Mytilus edulis: one gene and its partners. The protein of the gene in region 2 interacts with the protein of the main gene of each other region in a biochemical or structural test. Links are inferred from orthologs where the notes say so. Each region holds a gene or a part of one and is shown on either strand. Other genes may lie near its edges.

Region 1 (7,952 bases), on a different chromosome or scaffold from region 2:
GTAAGTCATAATATAACTAAAATAACCTTTATCATGTTTATCTGATGTACAGTACTTGTCGTTTGTTTATGCAATTTATTCGTGATTCTCGTTTATCTTTTTTTTTATATAGATCAGACCGTTGGTTTTCCCATTTAAATGGTTTTACACAAATAATTTTGGGGCCCTTTATAGCTTGTTGTTCTGTGTGAGCCAATACTCTGTGTTGAAGGCCGTACCTTGACCTATAATGGTTTACTTTTATAAATTGTTATTTGGATGGAGAGTTGTCTCATTGGCACTCATACCACATCTTCCATATCTATTTATTAATATAAATGTATAATTATTCTATAATGAGCATGTGATGCCATCCTAAGATCCTAGTTCACCAGTTTGTATTGCCTTGTTCCAGGGGCAGATTTAGAGGGTTTTCCTGGATGTGTGGAAAAATTTGGCTGATTATGTAGAGAATCACTGAAGCATGATAGGAGCGGGCACTCTCTTAGGCAGTCAGTGGGCACCCCCTTATGAAAATTTCTGGATCTTCCACTGAATTCATCTTACCTGGGTGAACTTTGACCTTTCCAATAACCCCATAGACCATTCCAATACAAACAGGATTCCATGCTGAACATAAGTCTATACCTATAAGAATAAAATATCATACAAATATATCATACATGGGAAAGATTGTTGTTGGATTGCTGTCTTTTAAAAACATGTGTAAGATGATATGTCTGTGAGACACAATGTTTTGTCTGCATACGCCAGGATTGGCAAATAAAATATTGGTTTGTTTGATTGTTTGTTTCCTTCACTACATCCTACATTTACAATAAATCACAAAATATAAGTTCTGACATTTGAAAATGAAATGTAATTTTGTTTTTGTTTTGAAACTGAACTGATGTGAAAGGTCAATGCCATAGAAATCAATATGCACCATCATAAAAAAGGTCAGAAATGTATGATACTACTAGACGATTCAATTATCTGTCAGCTTAATATTTAGAAGTAACCACACTGGTTTCTTAAAGATATGTTAGATAACCTAATATTATTTTCAATTGATTAATTGTATCATCTAAATATTGCAACTTATTTTTTCATGACACTGACTATTGAATTTATAGTATGAGGCAGCTTAATAGAGCCTACATCCTAATCAATTATTAAGGTTAATCACTTGACATTCATTTTTTTCCTTAACAAATAATGTGAGGAACTATAGGCCTTAGCATTGTAAACAATCATTTTTGAGTTATATGCAAAAGGTCAGATCAATTGGGTTAAGGACACCACCATTTCAATTCAAGGGGGAGGGGGGGAGATAGGTGGGGATGGTTGTTTCCTTAAAAAATATTCTGATCACTAATTTGATGAAAGAAAAATATTTAGGTCCAGATGATGACCAAATTTCCCATACTGAATAGTATTATACATTTGTATTCTGAAAAAAAATAATTGATTGCATGTGTGAAAAACTAAAAAAAAAAGGTTCGCACTTTGACCAAAAAATGTTGTTGAGATTCTGACATAAAACCAGAACACCCCCCCCCCCCCCCCCCCCCCCCCCGTCCCCATTTGAAGTTAAATGATTACTCCCTAGAATAATGTGTCAAACTGATATTCTTTTTTAAAATTCATCTGCTGGATTGGAGCTACGGTACACATTAAGATTAATTTACAGAAAGACTAAAGCATGTAGGGTTTTTATTTTAATGTAAATAGCCATTTAACAAGTTCAAACATATTTTTTTTTTTCCAAATCAAAAACATGAAATAAATAATTTTGTGAAAAAAGCAACAATTTTTAATGACTGATGATCAAGGAATCAATATTATTCGACATGTTCGATAATAGATACTTTCTTGGGAACAGATTAACTTCTTATCATAATTTGTATATATAACTAGTTAAACATTAATGGTCTAAAAGGTCAATGATGAACCAGTTTATTAGTCTGACTGCTGTTTGGTACATCATAATTAAGGCAGAACAGCTATTATTAAATTGTTTAAAAGCAAGACGATAATAACAAAATACTATCTTAAACATTGATTCTTTGTAAGTGTTTCTTTCTGATTTATTCATATAGAATGAAATAGGAGTGCAGGTAAAATGTCCTTATCATGATTCGTCAGATGTGAATGAAGTCCATTTATGTACTAATTAGCTATATATATAGTAGCTCTATTGCACATCTGGAATACATTTTATTTCGAACAATGTACATACATGTATATTGTTCTTATTTAGTAATTTTTACCCAGCACCATATATTTAGGTTCAGTTATTCAAATCCAACTACTTGTCGCTGATTTTTCAAAGAAATCGATGCAGATAATATAATTAAACATGGACAGGAAGAGAACCCCAAAATGAACTGTTGTGCAAAAAGAAATATTCACATTTTCCATTTGCTCAAACATGATTTAAAATATTTTTTTGATAATCAGCACCCTGGTTAATCCAATCATTATCAACTATAATTAGCATGATTATAGCATTGTCTTAGACAATGCTAATCATGCTAAGCATATAAAGATAGATACTCAATCAAAGTAGATAATCATTATCAACTATTAGCATTGTCTAGCGTGAAAGATAGATACTCAATCATGGTAGATAATCATTATCAACTTTTAACATTGTCTAGCATGAAAGATAGATACTCAATCATGGTAGATAATCATTATCAACTTTTAGCATTGTTTATAGTGAAAGACAGATACTCAATCAAGGTAGATAATCATTATAAACTATTAGCATTGTCTAGTGTGAAAGATAGATACAAAATGTACTCAATCAAGGTAGATAATCATTATCAACTATTCGCATTGTCTAGAGGGAAAGATAGATACTCAATCAAGGTAGATTATCATTATCAACTATTCGCATTGTCTACATGGTCTAGAGTGAAAGATAGATACTCAATCAAGGTAGATAATAATTATCAGCTATTAGCATTGTATATACAGTGTAGCTTGAAAGATAGATACTCAATCAAGTTAGATAATCATGATCAACTATGAGTATTTTTTTTAAATCTTTTAACTTTAAAATCAAATGAATACTGTTTTCTCCAATATTGTCTCAACATTTTCATTTCAAAAAAAAAAAAGTGAAAACAAGTGAACATGGTGAAACTGCAAGCTAATGCTCACTGATGATACCCCCGCCGCAAGTGGATAATATTAATAATGGTGTTCGGTAAACAGGAAGTTGTCGAGTGATGAATCTGAAAATGAATCACATGGTATACATGGTATAGCAGACTTATATCAAGCCTGAAACCAAATTTTAGAAATCCTTTTAGTATAGTTCTTGAGAAAAATGTGACGAAAAATTTCAACTTGGCTATCAGGTGTAAAATGATACTTGTTCGGTAAACAGGAAGTTGTTAAGTGATGAATCTAAAAAAGCAATCACACGGTATAGAGGACTTACATTGTATATCAAGCCTGAAACCAAATTTTAGAAATCCTTTTAGTATAGTTCCTGAGAAAAATGTAACGAAAATTTTCAACTTGGCTATCATGTGTAAAATGATACAAGTGTTCGGCAAACAGGACGTTGTTGTGTGATGAATCTGAAAATGCATCACACAGTATAGCTGAAATATATAAACTCTGAAACCAAATTTCAGAAATCCTGGTAGTGTATATACATTGTAGTTCCTGAGAATAATGTGACGAAAAATATTCATGGGACGGACGGACTGACGGATTGATGGACTGACGGAAGAACGGACTGACGGATGGATGGATGGATGGATGGACAGACAGAGGTAAAACAGTATACACCCCTTTTTTTTAAAGCAGGGGTTACAGTATACCCCCCTTTTTTTAATAGCAGGGGTATAAAAATGTCATGTAAACACCATGTATGTATGTACTGGTAAATGCCTCCGATATCCGAAGAACCCCTCAAAAGCTGCAAGGGTACAGTGGCATCCATGTACACTCCCTAACGGGATTAATGGAGATGTGTCACTAACGTATGTTTATACGACAATTATTTTTACAAGGACAATCAATCCCCACCCAACACAAAGGGAGTGCTAGGACACCGGGCAGTCTGTTATTATAGTGGAGGAAGCCGAAGTACTCGGAGAGAACCACCGGGCCACTCGGTGGAAATAGACAAACCAGAGAGATATCAGAAGATTGATCTCCAGGTCAAAGTAAGGGACAACTTTGACCAACCGAGGCCCCCAAAGTACCCATTCTAGTTTAAACTCCAGTCTGGGTACCAGAGATGTGTGTGAGAGGGTGAAAATTACCCTTCTGATGTGCTGATATTTTCAGCACTGTAGCCATCGGTCATAACCACTAGACCACGAACTCACATAGTACATGTAATTACTGTACAGTGGTACTAATGTATAATACCTGTATGGAGTTATATTTTTCAGAATGATAGGTCATTCTTTTCGAAGAATCATAATTTTTGTTCCGCTCGGCTAATTTTTGCCCAAAATAACTGGCTTTGGAATTTTATAAATTGTTGAAAATCACAGTCATACAGACTTTTTTTCTATACGCCTCCAGTTTTTTAGCTGATTTTTGATATGTGAGACTACCATCATGTTTGTGTCCACAAAGGCACATGTGTTATTGAAATTGCAGACTTTCAACTTTTTGAGACGGGGCCATTCGTGTCGGATTGACACATCTAGTTGGGATGTTTTTATCATAAACATATATGGATAAACATTAGAAATCACCTTTTTTTGGTTCAAGATCTCCTGTAGTTCTACTACACCACAGCGTAAAATCGCCATCCTGTAAGATATAATGGTCCTCAGTGTGAAAAACTTGTATCATTTTATCAATTCTTTATCACAGGAACCTTATCTCCACAAGTTTCATTTCATTTTTCACTTTTGGGGCAAAAAATAATATACGAGATAGAAAATCGAGCTAAATGTCAGTTGCAGGAAATGAACACTTTATTTACCTTCAGCTTTGAGAGCAACACTTCCGGTAAAATCAGAAATATGAGTGTAAGTCTGTATGGATGATAACATTATAAATATATTGCTTACTTTGATATATGAAGTAGTTTACACGATTTTTTTTTACAAAATTTAACTTTTTGATGATTGTTGAATTGACGTTCTTCTAGCTATAGAGGTTTAAAAACAAATATGGTGTGTGTCAAAAGAAACTGAAAGTGAAAAATACAGACTAATTTTCTTTTTCTCATTTTGTATCAATAGACAACTTTCGAGTTCGATGCTTTTCCGTCAAAAACTCTGGTTTTAGTGAACGTCATTTGTGCGTTTAGGGGCGTCGTAACTTCCATTCAAATGTTGAGCGAGTGGTTGGAAAACTATAATTCTATATTGTACGAATTATTCGGCAAATTGAATTCTCAAAATTGACAATCAGCATTGCTGTCATTAGGGAATTGTCATTAAGTACCTACAGAACAACCATTATTTCTAGTTTATCCTCCATAATGACGATCACTAGGACGCTTGATGCATGTAAATAGTGCAGGGATACAGGCGACCCCCTCTATCTGGTAAATGTCATAAAGGCGCGTATAATTGACGAGTTTTTTCCGGTGACGGATGAACTCGAAAGTGGTCTATTCTTTTTATGCCCCCTTTTACAGGAAGTATTAATGAATGCTGCTAACCGTCTCAGTGTTCTAGGATTTTTTTGGCACCTTGACTTACCACGGGTAAGATCAATAAAAAAATTACTTACCCACATCTAAAAGTTAAATCCGCCAACCAATGCGGACGGCGCAAAAAAAACGATTTCTTACTAAATTTGACAAATATGTTATAGTTATTACTATGTCATTTATTCAGAGCTATAATAAATGCAACTGTAAGTTTATTTTCCTCCGATGACAAGAAAAAAAATTGTTTATGTCCCGATTTAAGCACCAGTTATCAATCCGGATTTTCCGATTTTTACCGACACCGTGACCGACTTTTAGAATGATAGGAGAAGAATGTGGTCTCTTTTGCGCTTGATTACACCTAGTAAACGAGTGCTTGAATAAAAGCGCCGATAGACATCGACAAAATCTTCGATCTTTTATCAAAGTTTTTTCTCGTGATTTAATAAAAATAAAAAGCAGATATGGGAAAATTGAAGAGGACCGGGAAATTTCAAGAGTTTTTCGGCTTCCCCGAACTTGAAAATTGACTTACCACCGGGTGACAAAGGCTAAAAAATGACTTACCCGTTGTCCTAATCCACTTACCCCGGGTAACGGGTAATGGGAATCCTAGAACACTGCGTCTGCTTGTCCGTCGTCAACATATCATACATTTATACCTCCAAAATGCTTTAACAGATATTCAAGAAACTTTGTTTATATCTTTTGACGTGAGCTCCCTTAAAAAAGCTTTCATTTTATCAATTTCAGATTAACTGTTGGTTTCCGACTTTTGGGGTTTTATTTATTGAAAAAGGAGGGATTTTCCATCAATGTCCAATTTTCTGACAATAACTCAAGAAATGCTTTTACCAATTTTCATGAAACTTTGTTTGTTTATAATATGAGGCAGGCATTACCTGTGAATGGGGACAAAGTCTATGATTTTTTTTTTTAAATCAACAATGTTAAAAAGAGAAACGGAGATACCGTAATGTTTCCGATTTTGGTTCTGTTGTTAGGGATTTTAGTTGTGACATTTATTTAAGTTATGACGTCATATTCAATGTAATCAAAGAAACGCTGTCATCAGATAACTTTTTTTTAATAACAAACATTTGTTTTAAAATGAATTAGTATTAGTTACTTTCTTAGACTGATAAATATACATTTTATTCAAAGTCTCATGTCACAAGACCGGAAACGGAAGTAGATTTCTGCGCAGACTGGAAATTCATAAACGCGACAAAAAAAATTCGGGAAATTTTCCCGATTTAAAAAAAAAAATATTTATTATTGAATTTTCTACTGTAATAGGGGACTTGGTCACGATATTATATAGTCTGATGTAGAACTGATTTACTAAGTATTGCGCAACAGCACAGTGTATTGCGCAACCACAAAAAATCTAATTGGATACAAATTCAATTTATTTATTTATAACCTTAAACCAATTTGAGTTCTTTGACTTCATTTATTAATATGTCAAATAGTTACATGTACTTACAATCAAAATTCAGACCTGTATCAAGCTTGAATATTGTGTCTTTTTTGCCCAAATTAAACTGTTCAGGGTTGGACCTCTGGAGGCGTATCCAGCTGCATTCAGCTAAGCAGTTTATTATTAATATCATGGCAGTTATATATTTTATCATCTTGCAACATGTTACAATGTATACAGAATAAAAGCATTTTTGTTTTTGATACTAACTTTATCAGCAAGAATATCAAGCAAGCCCACTAAGGCAAGTCATAATAATGTGGTACTGTTGGTATGATATTAGAATCTAATTCTAGAAGTGCCCTTTGGGCATCTTTTCTTAATAATAATGTAATGTATTTTATTTGAATTGACAGCTTCCTAGAATGCAGAGATCTGATCACAGGAGACACAGACGTTTGACATCTAGAAGTTCGTCAGGTCAAAGGTTACCAATAGTTGTTCAAACACAAAGAGCAAGAAGAAGAAATAATCCTCTAAGGGAAAGAAATCAGGAAGTAGTTGATGTTGAAGGTATAAATATTTGCTTCTCTTTAACATGTTGAATAAAATACAGACATGAATTAAATTCAACAATCCAGTTCCATCCTCAACAGTGATGAAGCCTCAAAAGAGAAATTAGAAATGCATATTAATATACGATATAGCTTAGGAGAATAGGCAACTTCCAAGTGAAGTCTAAGTGAAGAAATGCAATTAAATTTTTATACGACCGCAAAAATTTTAATTTTTTGGTCGTATATTGCTATCACGTTGGCGTCGTCGTCGTCGTCGTTGTCCGAATACTTTCAGTTTTCGCACTCTAACTTTAGTAAAAGTGAATAGAAATCAATGAAATTTTAGCAC
Region 2 (7,252 bases):
CAATTTAGAAACTTGTGTATGTTTAAACAGGAAGTTTAAAAAGCATGTGTAAAAGAAGAAATTAACCGGTGAGAGTCAAAATCTGTACATGACAGATATCAATATAATACGACTTTGAAAGTTAAACACTTCCATCCTTTTGTAAAACAGTCTTAAATATACCTATCACATTAATGTTTGAAGGGTCTTAAGCAAATACAAACCATATTAGTCAGTATGAAACACCAAAACGGAATGAACAATAACCGATTACATTTTGTAGTTTACAAATTCTAAGTTGGTTTACGGTTGTCTTTTTTACTATGTTTATATCATTTCAATCAAGCAGATACCAGTTTATTTCAACCAATGCATTGAAAAGAAACGAGAAATTTGTATTGAACGGTTTAGTTTTTATATTTATCAGTATTAATTTGATATTGAATAGAAAGAACTTATTAATAAGGGCGTGTTAAAATTATTAGTTTGAAAAATGATGAGAGCGCCCTCTACAATATCAATAACAAAGATGGCGGAACGTAAACAAACCACCTTGCCGCAAAATTGAACTTTATCTCTTATTTCTTGCTTATTGTACTCTATAGACCGCACCCCTCTGGAAGGTCCAATTTTGGAGAATAAAGTATGTAAACTGGTTCCCGTCTGACTTCTACACTTTGTTCGAGTGTAGCGTAATACAAGCAGATTCCAGTTAGTATGTAAAATAGTAAATATGAAACCGAGTGCTGTAGGCGGAAATATAATCAACTTCCTTTAGTTCTGGTCAATTGTATCGGAAACATGCTGCTGATAGCGTCATTTTCCAAAATATTAAAACCGGGAAAATTTAAAGTCGGTCAGGAGAATTTTCAAATTATATGTTCCAAGAAAATTTTAAATTGCTATCATTTTAATTATTATGAATAATATTTTTTATTCAAATCAGTTGTAACTAGTAAAGCAAACGCTAAACGGTGCGGACTGCAGGTTCATCATGTCCATTATAAATGACTACCTGATAAGAACGGCTGATTTAATTCTTGTGCTTCTATTTTTCCGATTTTTATTTCACGTGTTTCCGTGTTCAGGGCCCCTCTTTACCACCCTCATAGGTCAGAGGAAGATATAAGTGATGATTTTTTTAACATCTATTGTTTATAAACAATACACCTTATCGCTAATCCCGGCTGACCCGGCTGCTTGAACTTTCAGTGTTCCAGCTAGGTTTTCAAAAGGGCAGGGTGCCAATCCTGAAAAAGGGCATTTAACGCGCGAAAAGATAATATGAAAAGGGCATATTTTAATAAAAGATGTTAATCAAACATTTGTGTTTATTCGTTGAATCACAGGTTATACAAGAACAACATCTTTAGCCCATATAGAACTCTATCTTTCTACTTTTAAGGCTGAAAAACTTGTCAAGCAGCTTGTCACACAAGTTTTTTTTTATCATTGCTTGGCACAGTTGAACTTTATATGCAGTATGTTTTGAAAGGAGATCTGTTTCATACTGTTTCTATGGTCTACCACATTTTACCAGTTTCACCTTCAGTCTACCCCTGCTGTGCTTGATGGCAATACAGCACAAAACAGCTGTGCTCAGTAAATTCACAATTTTAGGATATAAAGCAACAGTGAAAAATAGTATCAAAAATAAAGAATACAGAAAAAGATGACCAAGGCACCCTACCAACACTGCTACTAAGACCCTCTTTAACTTTTCCCATAACTCAAAATAAATACCTAAACATATATATTAAGCAAGAAGTATGGAGACACATTTTAGAATATGTAAATGGGTTACTCAATGCTAAGAAAAAAATCAGATTGAGTTATCTTTCTTTATTCGGGTGTGCTCCTTCTTTGGAGGATTATAAACAGTACGTAAATATGATGTAAATATGATCACAATATGGCCGCCGATTTTGTTATTTTCGTATCAAAAATGAAGGCAGTCAATGACAAATACGTCTGAATTTTCTGTTTATTTTACAGAAAACAAATAAAACAATGTCTTCAACGAGTTAATAATGGTTTTCCAACTTTCTGTCATTACGTTTCTTCCATGAAACTACGGTAAACATCGCAAATTGTGCCCAAGTTGTTGTATGCACATTTCTTCAAAGATAATTGCCGACTGACCGATTCTATTTGAACGAATTAATGTTGATGATCATTAATGACCCATCCGATAAACGGATTACCTATAACAACAGATTATGACACCAGTTGTAACCATTGATTAGCTTGGGTGGTAAACAAAGTCATAATCTTTTCCCCAGGTAAAATTTAGTAATTAGCGTATCATATCAATACGCAAATTAATATGCAATCGATCTTCAAAAAAGGCAGGGCGCCCTGGAAACTGTAAAAAGGGCACAGGGCGCCACTCGGAAAGGGGCGGGCGCCGCGCCCTCTGAAAACGGCCTAGCTGGAACACTGACTTTTGATGCATAAGGTGTATAAAACTTAAATTGCACAATACCCTATAGTTTAGTAAATGGAACATTTTTTCAAAAGAACCTTATCTTCTATTTTGGTAAAAGAATTAGTAGTCCAGAAAATTGTTAACTTTTCGTTTACTTGTAACATCTCCGTAAATCGGAAGACTAAAGGAATTTATGCACAATTGACGACTTGTACATGTTTGTAGTTTCAAGTTAAAAAAAAGTAATTCAACAAATTAGTTTATAGCAGTGACAAGTGTCTCTTATTTGATGAAAAGTTTAAAAGATGTGTACATCGTTTGTTCTCTGGGTGGATCAGCCAGGGTAAATTCTGCCAATTTCTGGGTGTAAACAAATATATATTTATCAGTTATACCTGAACCATTAATGCAAGTCTCAAAGACTCCTGACCGATTGTTGCTTTGCAGCCTTTGCATGACGCTCTCCCACTTTTTGCATATTCTGCTTTGAAATCGCTCATTCTTACAGCATTTGTTTACACTTTCCCACACGTTTTGCTTTTTGCTGAGCGTTGCATTAAAAAAATAACTAAAAACCGCAAAGCACTTCATAAGTTCGATTAAAATATAAACTGCATATGACACTCTCTGGTAATCTTTAATATCACTGTAAGATGAAAATGATAATTTTAGAAAAAGTATATATTCAAAAGGGAAAATGGTATGCCTTCTATTCATTAACAACCTTATTTATGTTTGTTATTTTTGTATTCTGTATTCTGTTTTTGGTTTTCAACTATACACAGCTTTCCCGCCAAAAAAAATAAATCTTAAAAACTTACCGGTTTTGGAAAGGAAAGAAAAACGGGTCTTCTTTTTTTTTATAATTATTTTATTTTTGAAGATGAAACATGTGAAATTACATAATACAGTATTAGACACAAGTATAAAAAGTTAAATAACACTTGTAAGGTCAATTAAATCATAATGGTATAATAAGATATAAATATTACAATTGATTTTGTTAATTTAATGCTGCTTCTAACAATTGCCACTTCTGATCCAATTTTATTTTTTGTGTAGGGGTTAAGAAACATACAGAGTATTTTTCTATTTTGATCCAATACTTTAGATATTCTATCCCACCATATTTTGTGGGCAATACGCTCTTACATCTACATTTGTATATATAGTATTTAAGTAACAACAAAATATTATTAACTGTTTTACTGTTGACAAAATCCTCAGACACACCTAAAATGACCTCTTTTGCACTAAAAGGCAAGAAGATGTCATAATTTCTAATCCAATCTATAATGGAAAACCAGAAGTTTTTTGTTACATTACATTCCCAAAAAATGTGAAAAATATTTTCTCTAACTTCTGAACAAAATGTACAAAGTTCAGTTTCTTTTAATTTACATTTATATAAAAAGTAATTACATGGTAAAATTCTATGAACAATCTTAAATTGAAAATTTTGTAAAAACGAATTTCTTGTTATAATGAAGGGCATGGAATAAATAGCATTCCAATCTTCAATCTGTATATTTAAGTCTATTTCCCATTTGTTACGGGAAGATAGTGATAATACTTTATTATCCTCCAGAAATAAATTATAGAAAAATTTACAAGATTTTGGTTCTTTTTTAACTTTATCTACTAATTTATTTTCAATATTATCAAGTCTAGAACTACCTTCTATCCTACTTTAATTTCCATCTATTTGGAATAGCACTTAAAATACCATAAAACTCTACAAAATTAGTCTTGGTATTATACTTTTAAGCTTACCGGTTTTGGAAAGGAAAGAAAAACGGGTCTTCTTACTATATATCTTACTCCAAATATAGTCGTGTCTATAGTCGTGCCATTTAATAGCTCCGTTTTCTGATCTGACTTGTGTCGTGAGATGTTTGGACTTTGTTATACTAAGTTTACATTTAAAAAGAATAACGTATGAACTAAGAAATTCGGTAATAAGGGTATATGTAAAGCTAAATACTGTCCGTATGAAATATTGTCCACCAGGAGTGACTATATTCATTGGGACTTCAGTCATAACTATGTATCTAAAACATAGATGTATTTATCATGTAATACCCATCTATGGTATCATGAAATATTTTCCTCATTTATGAAATTATCTCCAGAGAAGGACATATCTTCATCATTGTGAAATTCTGTCTGTTTAAAGACAATATTTCACAGATGAATGATTTGTAAAATGAGACTATATTTTACAGTCAGATTGTCATGGACTGAATTTTGTCTCATGAAGGACGGGAAATGAAATACAAGTATTGGAAAACGATATTCCAATTATTCTTCTACCTCCAAAACGCATACAAAATATCCGTCAATCTAGTTTATAGAAATACTAGATGTATATTCAATTTTAGATTTTTAGAACATAGTCATTACTTACGGGGCGCTGAACGGGAGTCTTGTGGTTTTGTTCAAAATTCAATTCTGTCATGACAAAATCATTTTTGTCTTACAAAACTATGTGATACAGACTTGTTTTATGAGAACTTCAATTTTGTGATGACAAAATTCATTTTTGTAAACAAAATTCATTTTTGTAAACAAAATTCATTTTTGTAGACAAAAATCATTACAATAATCATTTTTGTCATGACAAAAATTAAATTTTGTCAAATAGGTATGCAAATATAAACTTATTTACATACAAAATTTACTTTTGTGACAAAAATGAATTTACAAAATTATTTTTGTGTAGACAAAATTGACTTTTGTGACACACTGAACATGGACTTTTGTGACAAAAATGACTTTTGTGACAAAATTGACTTTTGTGACACAAAAATTGACTCTTGTGGCACAACATTGAATTTTGTAACTTAATATCAGTTGTGTATGCAAATTCGTTCACAGAATCCAAACTAAACTAATTTGCATACAAAATTGACTTTTGTCGCCCAATTTTCAAATTAGGTAGTCTGTGTTACAAAAATGAATTTTGTCATGACAAAAGTAACTTTTGGCCACTGAAAGATAATTTTGTATGACAAAATTTTAAATTTGTAGTATGCTACAAATTTTGTTAAACTGAACTCATTTTTGTTTAACAAAACTCACTTTTGTCTGTACAAAATTGAATTTCGAGTACAAAACCACATGCAAGAGTCCCATTCGGCGCCCGTATTACTTATATCTATACAGTATAATTTTGTACAATGGAACATATGTGTCTTTGGTAAATCTGAACGCAAATATAGTTGCTGCAACTCAATAACAGCCTTTGTATCTAATGAGAAATGTAAATATGCTTAATAGATATACTTCCTACAGCGGTGTGGTGAGATGATTGAGGCTGTTAATTTTCTCCTTGAATATATTCGTGTACGGTTCGGCAATAAAGTTAATCGACAGGCTGCATGTATTCATATGGGCACCAATTACGTCCCTTTAATAGCAGAATTATTCTTGTACTTTTATGAATAACAGTTTATGAGTAAAGACCTGTCTAAATTGCATTTAATTTATATATTCAAAAACACTTACCGTTATCAGATCTTATTTTGATGCTATTTTTTGTTAAATAATCAAGAATTTTCTAAATATACTGTCAACTTTTACCATAAGGAACTTACTTTAAATTCATAATATAAAAACTATAACTGTCCTTTCTTAGAGTAACGATATTTCAGTTTTACATGGGAAACTAGTCAATTTAAAATTTATGACAAAAGGGACAATTTTTCAATCCCTATTGTTAATTTTCCACTTTTGTTTGGACGTTGGTGTCCCTTTCACCATTTACGGTGTTTATATATCGCAACTCGTTTACTATGTCCGTGTCTGTCGTGACGTTTTTGACTTCAATGAACGTACACTAGTCTAGTCGGGGGTTTCGTAACCACAAATCACTTAAAACCTTTAATAAATTCTTCCACAGAAAGATATGGTTTTGAAGTTTAGTTGCGCATGTAGAAACTTGTTAAACATTTTGTGGGATGTTGTTTACCGAAATAGAAAATTTAGAAACGATCCGGATAAACCTATCGATCATTTCAAATAGATTCATTCAAAAAGGTTACCAATGCAACACTGACTGTACTTGAATCTTTGATTGTTGTTTTTATTGGTATTACTATTGATTTTGTATTCAATAAATTAATTAAAATCAGACTAAATATCACTTTTATATACATACCGTGATATGCACATTTATGACTCAACAATCTGTCGATACCTGTATATTGGCATTGCGCAAGGTCATGTTTTTTTCAATAACTGTTAATGACGTCTTTATACTAAATCCGTTGGACGTTGGATCTGTATTGATATCTTCATCTTAGATGCATGATTTTTTCATTAATTGATATTTGCTTTGAACTAGCTGTTAACCACTACGACTACTTTTTTTTTTTTGGGGGGGGGGGGGGGGTGAGGGGCGATGTGTTAATACCCTGTCAGGTCCACTATGTGTTTTCGTTAGATGTATTTCTATTTGTATCCATCTGATGAGTTCAAAAGACCTTTTCTAACTGATTTTTTTTTCTTATGTTGTACTGTTACATAACTTCCCGGGTTAGGGGTGGGTTAGTGCCGTCAGACTAGTTTAAGCTCACAACATTCTATATTATATGTGCCCTCTCCCAAGTCAGGTGCATGTTAATAAGTGGTTGTCGCTTTTTTGCATGTTATTGAGTGGTTGTCGCTTTTTTCTGTTTCTCATTTTTGTTTTTCGTTTATTGTTTTGTATAGTTTGTTCTTAAGTTGTACTGTCCCAGGATATGGGAGGGTTTGGCGCGAACAAACTAGTTTAACACCGCCACATTCGGTATGTGCCTTTCCCCAAGTCAGGAGTCTGTGGTTGTCGTTTGTTGGTTTATTTTT
Region 3 (7,600 bases), on a different chromosome or scaffold from region 2:
TTTGCATTCCAAATCAAAAGGCTACCATACCCTATTAATTGAATGCTAAATAATTTTACATTGTTGACTGTAAACATTAAATTGTGACATACCCTATTTAATTCTTCATCATTAGCCACTGCTAGAAGAATATGTCGAGGAGTTACGCGAGCCCTTTTATTATCTCTAGCTGCATTTCCTGCCAACTCTAATATCTCAGCTGAAAAAGTATGATAAATATGAATATTTATGGCCATAATAGATATAAATCAAATTTCTACATATTTCATAAATCAACCATATTTGAAAAATAACAGTTACATTTTACTGAAGGTTATGTAAGGACTGTCATAATGCTTTACTTGTTTTCTTACCGGCAGTAAACCAAAGGATACAAATCAGTTTTAATAGTTCTGCAACATTTCTTTTTAATTTCAGCGTCACAGGGTAGAGTAAATAATTATTAATACCACTTAAGTTATAAACTAATAAATTTAACATGTTTTAAAAACAAATGATGTTAATCCCACTTTTGTCGATTATCTTCTTTTTTGTGTAGAAATTAGTAGAAATAGCTCTTGCATGGGCAGAGATTACAGTTGGGCGAGAATGTGTCAAGGAGTTACATCATGTACATGGGGAAGTTTGAAAAGTATCATAAGATACATATATGCATACCTGCCAACCTCTGAAACCTTCAAAGAGGGAGATCTCCCCCTCAGTTATGACAGCTGAGTGGGAGATTTTTCGCGAATGACATTTTCAAGTGAAATTATGACCTGTTTATTTATTCATCTACATAATAATAGATTTATTCTCTTTCTTTAAATATGGTTATATTCTAAAAAAAGGTGTGATGTTGTTTTCTTTCCTCTTTCATCACTTTTTCTTTTTTGACATTTGAATTGCATCAGGACAGCTATCCCTTCACCTAATTAACCATAATGTCACAATTAATGCTTTTAAGTGTGATCATCCAAATTAAATCAACAAACAAACAAATGGAAGTGTTTAACGACCTTCACTGGCTATACAGCCCTCGCACGGTCGGCTCGGTGCCCAAAAGGCGATTAATGAGCTCAAAACGTGAGGGTTGGAAGGTATGTATATGTGATTACCTATAAGTGAGACAAGTTTTCATTTTCTATTAGTCAGGAATTGTATTTTGATTGGTGTTCAGAGTGGCAGGAAAGAACCACTGAACTTCTGCAGGAAAACCAATAATCCTAGTCAATTAAGATTTGGTAAGTGCACACAGGTCTGCCATATGCTGTGGTTTAAACTCACAACAAGTGTGTGATAAGTTTATTAAGCTGATTATTATTTAAATTAAATATGGAGTTAGTTTGTAGTTTTTTTTTATTGTGCCAGGTTGCAATCATTTTATCAGAATGAATTCATAATGTATATTCTATGTTGTGTTATCGTGTTTGTAGGAAGTATATATAATATTGTTCTTAATTAAATGTAGGGCAGCATTTGCATTTTATTGCAAGATAGGGCAAATTAAAGCAAAGTCAGTTGAACCTATTACATATTTCCTATAAAAAGAGCTGGAACAGTTGTCAATGAATCCTGGTAAGTTCGCCCAAAAACATGTTTGCCCCCTTTCACTTTCGCACCCTACACGTTTGCATGCAAAGTCTGTTCGTAACCTACACTTTTGCACCCTTTTTATTGGTTTTGTGTTGGACAATTTGGTAATAGAGTTTTGATAAGTGTATTGCTATATATGTTTTTTTAATTGTTTCAGTATAAACTGAGAATGTTATGTTTTTTTATGTTGAATAAATCTTAATCATATTTTGGTAAGCGTATTGCTATATATTTTTTTTCATTGTTTCAAAATAAAGTGAAATTATGACATCTTTTTTCTGTGTTGAATTTGGTAATCTCAATCATGTTTTGGTTTGTGTATTGCTATAAAAAAAAAATTCATTGTTTCAAAATAAAGTGATTTTGACGGGTTTTTTTTTGTGCTGAAAAGGGAAATTCAATCATGTTTTGGTTAGCATGGTTATAGTGTATTGCTAGTATACTTTTTTTTCATTGTTTCAAAATAAAGTTATTTTGACAACATTTTATTTTTGTGTTGAACAAATCCTAACGATATTTTGATTAATTAGTGGATTGCTATACATTTTTTTCATTGTTTCAAAATAAAGTGAGATCAAGGGGCCAAGCTGTTTATGTTTTTCATTTAAAATCTTCTTTATTTAAAATCTTCAATGTTTTACTCATACCAAGCTAAATATATGCATTACACCAAAGCAAGTTAACACAACGATCATGATTTTTTAATAATTCAACTAGAATTTGATTAAAAATAGGGTGCAAATGTGTAGGGTGCTAACAGATCTCATTATCGAATATTCGAGGTGCGAACGCGTAGGGTACGAAAGAGTATTCTGCACATATGGACCTGATACAGTTGTTTGTAGCCTGTGAGGCCAAATTGAACTGTCCCATGAATAACCATACTGACTTCACCACTTATGAGACCAAATTGGACCACAATCCTATTAATGAGTCCAAGATTTGTTTAGTTACAGCTATAATAGTCAGAAAATATTAAAGACAGTAAACCATGCTAAGTAAATTCTAAGATGCATAGTTATAAAATATTACCAAATTAATTCTATTGCTCATTTACTTTGATTATACATTTTTCTGTCATATTACGTATTATAGATTATAGGTGTTTGTAGTCATGAGGCTGTTAGGGGGCATTTGCCAGTTGAAGAATTAAAATTAATGCGTTGTCATGAAATATAAATGGTAAGCAGTACCAGTTAGATACTCTATGACTGCTGCCAAATAGACTGGAGCTCCAGAACCGATACGGAAATGATGTGTCACTCCCTTCAGGTACCGGCGCATCCTTGCAACTGGAAACAAAACACCTGCTTTCGCAGATTGCGATGTTATCTTTTTCTTCTTTGCACCGCGTGCGGACATATTTATGCTTTATGATTGACCTACAAATGCTGACATGTACAATAATATCGTGTTGACACCGTAAACTAATTTGCAAGATCAGGCGAAGCTTAGCATCGACTTGCTTATTGGTCCTAAATCCAACTTCCGGGTGGATTCTAAATTGGGACGAAAGCTCCGAACAGCAAAGACTAAAACGCGGGTGATTTAAATTTATCTTAATACCAGGGTTAAAATTGTGCACACCAGACGCGCGTTTCATATTAAAGACTCATAAAGGAACACGACTATCTAACTTCAAGGGGGAGGGTATGGGTTTTCCTAAAAAAAAACCATGATGGAAACAAAAATTCTGGTCCAGCAGGGACTTTCTATATTCAAGCCAGAGACATTTCATACACCTTATCGCTATTTGTCCGCCATTGCTGGAAATCACACAGGTTCCCGTAAAATTTTGACGTCATAAAACAAAATGTCTGACGCCACAATGGAAAAGTGATTGTTGTTGACGTCAAAAGTTCAAGCGGACGGGTCAGCCGGGAATAGCGATAAGGTGTATTTATAGACAAAAACTTAACTTTCACCACTGAACCATGAAAATGAAGTCAAGGTCAGATGAGACCTGCCAGTTGGATATGCACACCTTACAACCCATTACATACAACAAATATAGTAGACCTGATGCGTAAAGTATCTGATACGGACTTGATCACAAAAACTTCACCTTGTTCACTGCTTTATGCAATGAGGTCAAGGTCAAGTGCAAATTAACTGACGGGCACGAACACCTTGCAAGGTAAGAGGGTCTGGATGGGGGGGGGGGGGTCTGTTATTCTGTAAACATTTAATTTTTACCCCTTTTTTTCTCTAATCTTTATAAAAAATTAACCCCTTTTTTCTCTAATCTTCAAAAAATTAACCCCTTCTTTGCCCATTATTCTCTAATCTTCAAAAAATTAACCCCTTCTTTGCCCATTATTCTCTAATCTTCATTTTTTAAGGACACTATTCTTTAATCATCAGTTTAACCCCATCCAAACCCTCGATCAGGTAAGCACATACCCAAATTTCATTATCTTGTTACTCCTAATAAGAGAGAAATTATCATTACAAAAAAATCTTAACTTTTTTCAAGTAGTCACTGAACCATAAAAATCAGGTCAAGGACAATGGAAATATGACAGACGAAAACTTCACATCATAAGACATATATATCATAAGACATCTATATATAACTTTTTCATACATTTCAAATGTTATATTTCATTGTAACATAAATTGGATTTTTTCCTTTGATGTTTTTATGAAATAATTTGCTTAAAAAGTGCGGTGAGGGAAAACCATGGTATATTATATGCAAATTTATGTTGTACCATACTTTGCTAATTAAATATGCAACTCAACTAAAATCCAAAGGAAAAAAGGCGGAGCTTCAGCCATGGTATAACATATTCATTTTCATGTTATTCCATGGCTGAAGCTCCACCTTTTTTTTTTTTAATGTATCCGCCTCTAAAATATTTAGGAAACCGTAAAACGTACTAAAAGGTCAAGATCTTCATTTGTTTTCATTTTATAAGAAAAAGCAATGAATTATGTGTACCACATTTTAAGAAACCTTTTTCAAACTATAAGATTGTTACGAATTCCCTTAACTTTGGAAACAATTACTAAATGTTTCTTCTTTCAGTTTTGAAAAAAAATAAAATGTAAAACTATTATTTCCTTTGCGAAAATTCAATTAAATTTCGATATAAAAAGGAATAAATATCAGCTACAAATATCTGTGAAAAAAACATGATTTTTTTTGCAATCAATTAGGGGGACGTACACTATCTACGCCCTCTGGATCCGCCACTGTTTAAATACATTGTTTTATTATTAAAATTGTGTTTTAATAAATAATCTAATAAAATAACGGAAGAAAAACATTTTTCAATCAGATGAAAATTCTGTAAAATATGATTAATTTGTATGATACATTGAAAACAAACAAAGAAAAACAATTCTTACCGTCATTAGAATAATCATTTAATCCTTGTCGCTGGAATCCGACATTTTTGTTTACCTCAGTCATTATGAAATTACCTGCTCATACAATCATACACGGGGCGCAAAACTAAAATAAATTGGGAAAATCCGACATTTTCTTTACTTTCTGCAAATTCAGGGGCTCTATTACATAAAATACACAGACGATCATACACGAAGCGCAAAAGTGACGCGCGAGCTTCCATTTCATTGGATAAAACTGTAACGTGATCAATTTCTAATATTAGTTGAAGGTCTTGAAGCTGTCAATCATTTTATTTATATTACAAATTTTATATACCATGTGTCTTACTCATTAACATATTTAAACAAACTCATCCTTCGGATTCGTTTGTTTAAATATGTTAACTCGTAAAAACCATGGTATATATAGTACTTAACTGTAAATTTATTGTGTTCATTTCTCTCTCGCACTGAAAATCTAGACAACAGCAAAAGTAGGCGAGACACTGCATGGGTTCCATGGAATCCTTAATTATTATTTTTTTATTTGTCACTAGTTTTCATTGGAAGTTGATGATGAGCCATCATGTCCATGTCTTCCACCTTCTGAAATATTAAACGCCGCCGCTGGATCACTGTCCCTTTGTCGCAGTGATAATGCAGCTTAGGCAGCAACCATTTGAATTTCAGGGGGGGGGGGGGCTATGGATTTTTTGGAAAAAAAAGTTTGTTTCCAGTTTTTTGAGAAAAAAATAATTTGTTTTTGACCCTGAGAAAAGAAAAATGTTTGTTTCACCCTCAGCTGCCACTATATATATGTAATGCTAAAATGGAAAGAAAAAAATGTTTTCGACTTGTCGCCAAAAAAATAGATTGTTTTTCGCCGAAATCGAAAGTTTGTCAAGAAAAAAATCCATAGCCCCCAGAAAATCAAATGGTTGATGCCTTATATAAAGGTAGGTAAAAATATGTATATTTGTTGAAGGTCAAGTTGAGGATATCCAGTCACATGGAAAATATACAACTGGACTAGAAGAACCTTTATAAGAGAAGAAGGCTACAAAAACATACTATCCAATATCAGTCCTTAAAACAGCACAATTTTAAATAAAATTCGAAACCGAAAATGCAGTGGCATGTGTGTGCATGTCGAGAGTTTATATCACGTTTTTCACGATTTATTTGATTTTTTCTAGTATAGATCAGTATAAAATTTTCCAAAAATATTATCCGTTTTATTGAATAATGCCCTTTCAAAAATCCTGGATCCGACCTAGAAATCGAATTAGTGTAAAGGTGAGAGGCTGAGCTGCAGTTATGACTTTGTTTGATGATGAATTTTGTGTCGATTCCCCCCCCCCCCTATAATTGTTGGAGAGGTGAAATCAAATTTGTTGGAGTACTTTATTACGTGTTTTAGTTGCCTTTTGGATTTGATTATTTCATTCTTTTGAAATAGTTGACAAGAAAATATCATATCAGGGAAACAGAGAGATACTAAACGAAGTATAGACATTACTGTATTACCTGTTTTATATGTAGCAGAAATAAAAACGGGACTGACAAGAAATCGATGGCGCTCTCTCTATCGTTGTATTAAAACCAATATTGGTATCCACAGACACAGTATTCAGACGGATACAGATACAAAAAAATTAAGCACAAGAATTCAGACCGATCAATTTTGGAAGGTTTTAACGCAGTACGTACCAAGTGGTATTTGCAACTCCATATCCTAAGTAAAATTTTGGAAATGAAATAGCGAATTCACAACAGAAAGGTATCTTCAAAATGTGTGGTCCGCTCCAACCAGTACAGAACTGAACTGTATGCCGCAGATCTGCTGCAGGTTTGCTTCAAACAAAAGTCAATTTTAAAATTGAATTTACATCTACATGTAGTTGTATCTAATAAATGCATTTCAAATAAATCCTTCTCTTGTATATTTAAATATTCAGTATCATTTGAGCACTCAACGAATAAACAATGTCAATTCTAAAATGAATTTGTTAAAAAATAAAAAGCATTTTAATGGTTGTATTTATATAGTTATCAAAGGTACCAGGCTTATAATTTAATACTTTTTCGTCTACATTGGACACATCAGTGACGCTCAGATCAAAATAGTTACAAAGCAAAACAAGCACAAAGTTGAAGATTATTGATGAACCAAAATTCAAAAAAAGTTGTGCCAAATACGGCTACGGTTATCTATGACTGGAATAAGAAAATCCTTAGTATTTCGAATAATTCATACTATTGCAAACAGTAAATTTATGAAATGACTATAATTGATATTCATGTCAACACCGAATTGCTGACTACTGGGCTGGTGATACCAATGGGGACGAAAAGTCCACCAGTAGTGACCTGTTCAAAACTCTTTAAAACCTGCTGCAAACACTTATATGCAAATGAGTGTTGCAATAAGTCTGCAGCTAGCAATCAATTGGAGGATTAATTGTGTTCTGCAGACCTGCAGCGCATTTGCAGCAATCAAACAACAAATACATATTCTGAACAAAAGTCAATTTGAATTTTAGAATGGAATTTACATCTAGCTGTATCTAATAAATGTATTTCAAATAAATCCTTCTCTTGTATATTTAAATATTAAGATGTGTATCCGCTACCGATGATTGAAAATAACTTGGATTTTTTTTGTGTGGATCGCAGTGGTTCTCATCAC

Evidence for each region.
Region 1: the proteins of poly [ADP-ribose] polymerase 1-like (region 2) and E3 ubiquitin-protein ligase RNF4-like form a complex in vitro, tested with the Homo sapiens proteins (2 studies listed by BioGRID and IntAct, with this or other methods). The link is inferred for Mytilus edulis from reciprocal best matches to the Homo sapiens genes PARP1 and RNF4.
Region 3: the proteins of poly [ADP-ribose] polymerase 1-like (region 2) and core histone macro-H2A.1-like form a complex in vitro, tested with the Homo sapiens proteins (2 studies listed by BioGRID). The link is inferred for Mytilus edulis from reciprocal best matches to the Homo sapiens genes PARP1 and MACROH2A1.

The regions. Positions count from the first base shown.
Region 1 is NC_092347.1:57,598,461-57,606,412, reverse strand, and holds the start of E3 ubiquitin-protein ligase RNF4-like, read left to right. Parts: upstream 1-4,880; 5' UTR 4,881-4,928; coding exon 4,929-4,991; intron 4,992-7,462; coding exon 7,463-7,619; intron 7,620-7,952. Other genes in the region: phosphatidylinositide phosphatase SAC2-like, read right to left, coding at 547-627, 4,713-4,812. UniProt on the Homo sapiens protein: E3 ubiquitin-protein ligase which binds polysumoylated chains covalently attached to proteins and mediates 'Lys-6'-, 'Lys-11'-, 'Lys-48'- and 'Lys-63'-linked polyubiquitination of those substrates and their subsequent targeting to the proteasome for degradation.
Region 2 is NC_092346.1:99,417,977-99,425,228, forward strand, and holds the start of poly [ADP-ribose] polymerase 1-like, read right to left. Parts: upstream 3,037-7,252; 5' UTR 2,908-3,036; coding exon 2,803-2,907; intron 1-2,802. UniProt on the Homo sapiens protein: Poly-ADP-ribosyltransferase that mediates poly-ADP-ribosylation of proteins and plays a key role in DNA repair.
Region 3 is NC_092352.1:9,734,734-9,742,333, reverse strand, and holds the start of core histone macro-H2A.1-like, read right to left. Parts: upstream 3,073-7,600; 5' UTR 2,938-3,072; coding exon 2,769-2,937; intron 200-2,768; coding exon 93-199; intron 1-92. UniProt on the Homo sapiens protein: Variant histone H2A which replaces conventional H2A in a subset of nucleosomes where it represses transcription. Nucleosomes wrap and compact DNA into chromatin, limiting DNA accessibility to the cellular machineries which require DNA as a template.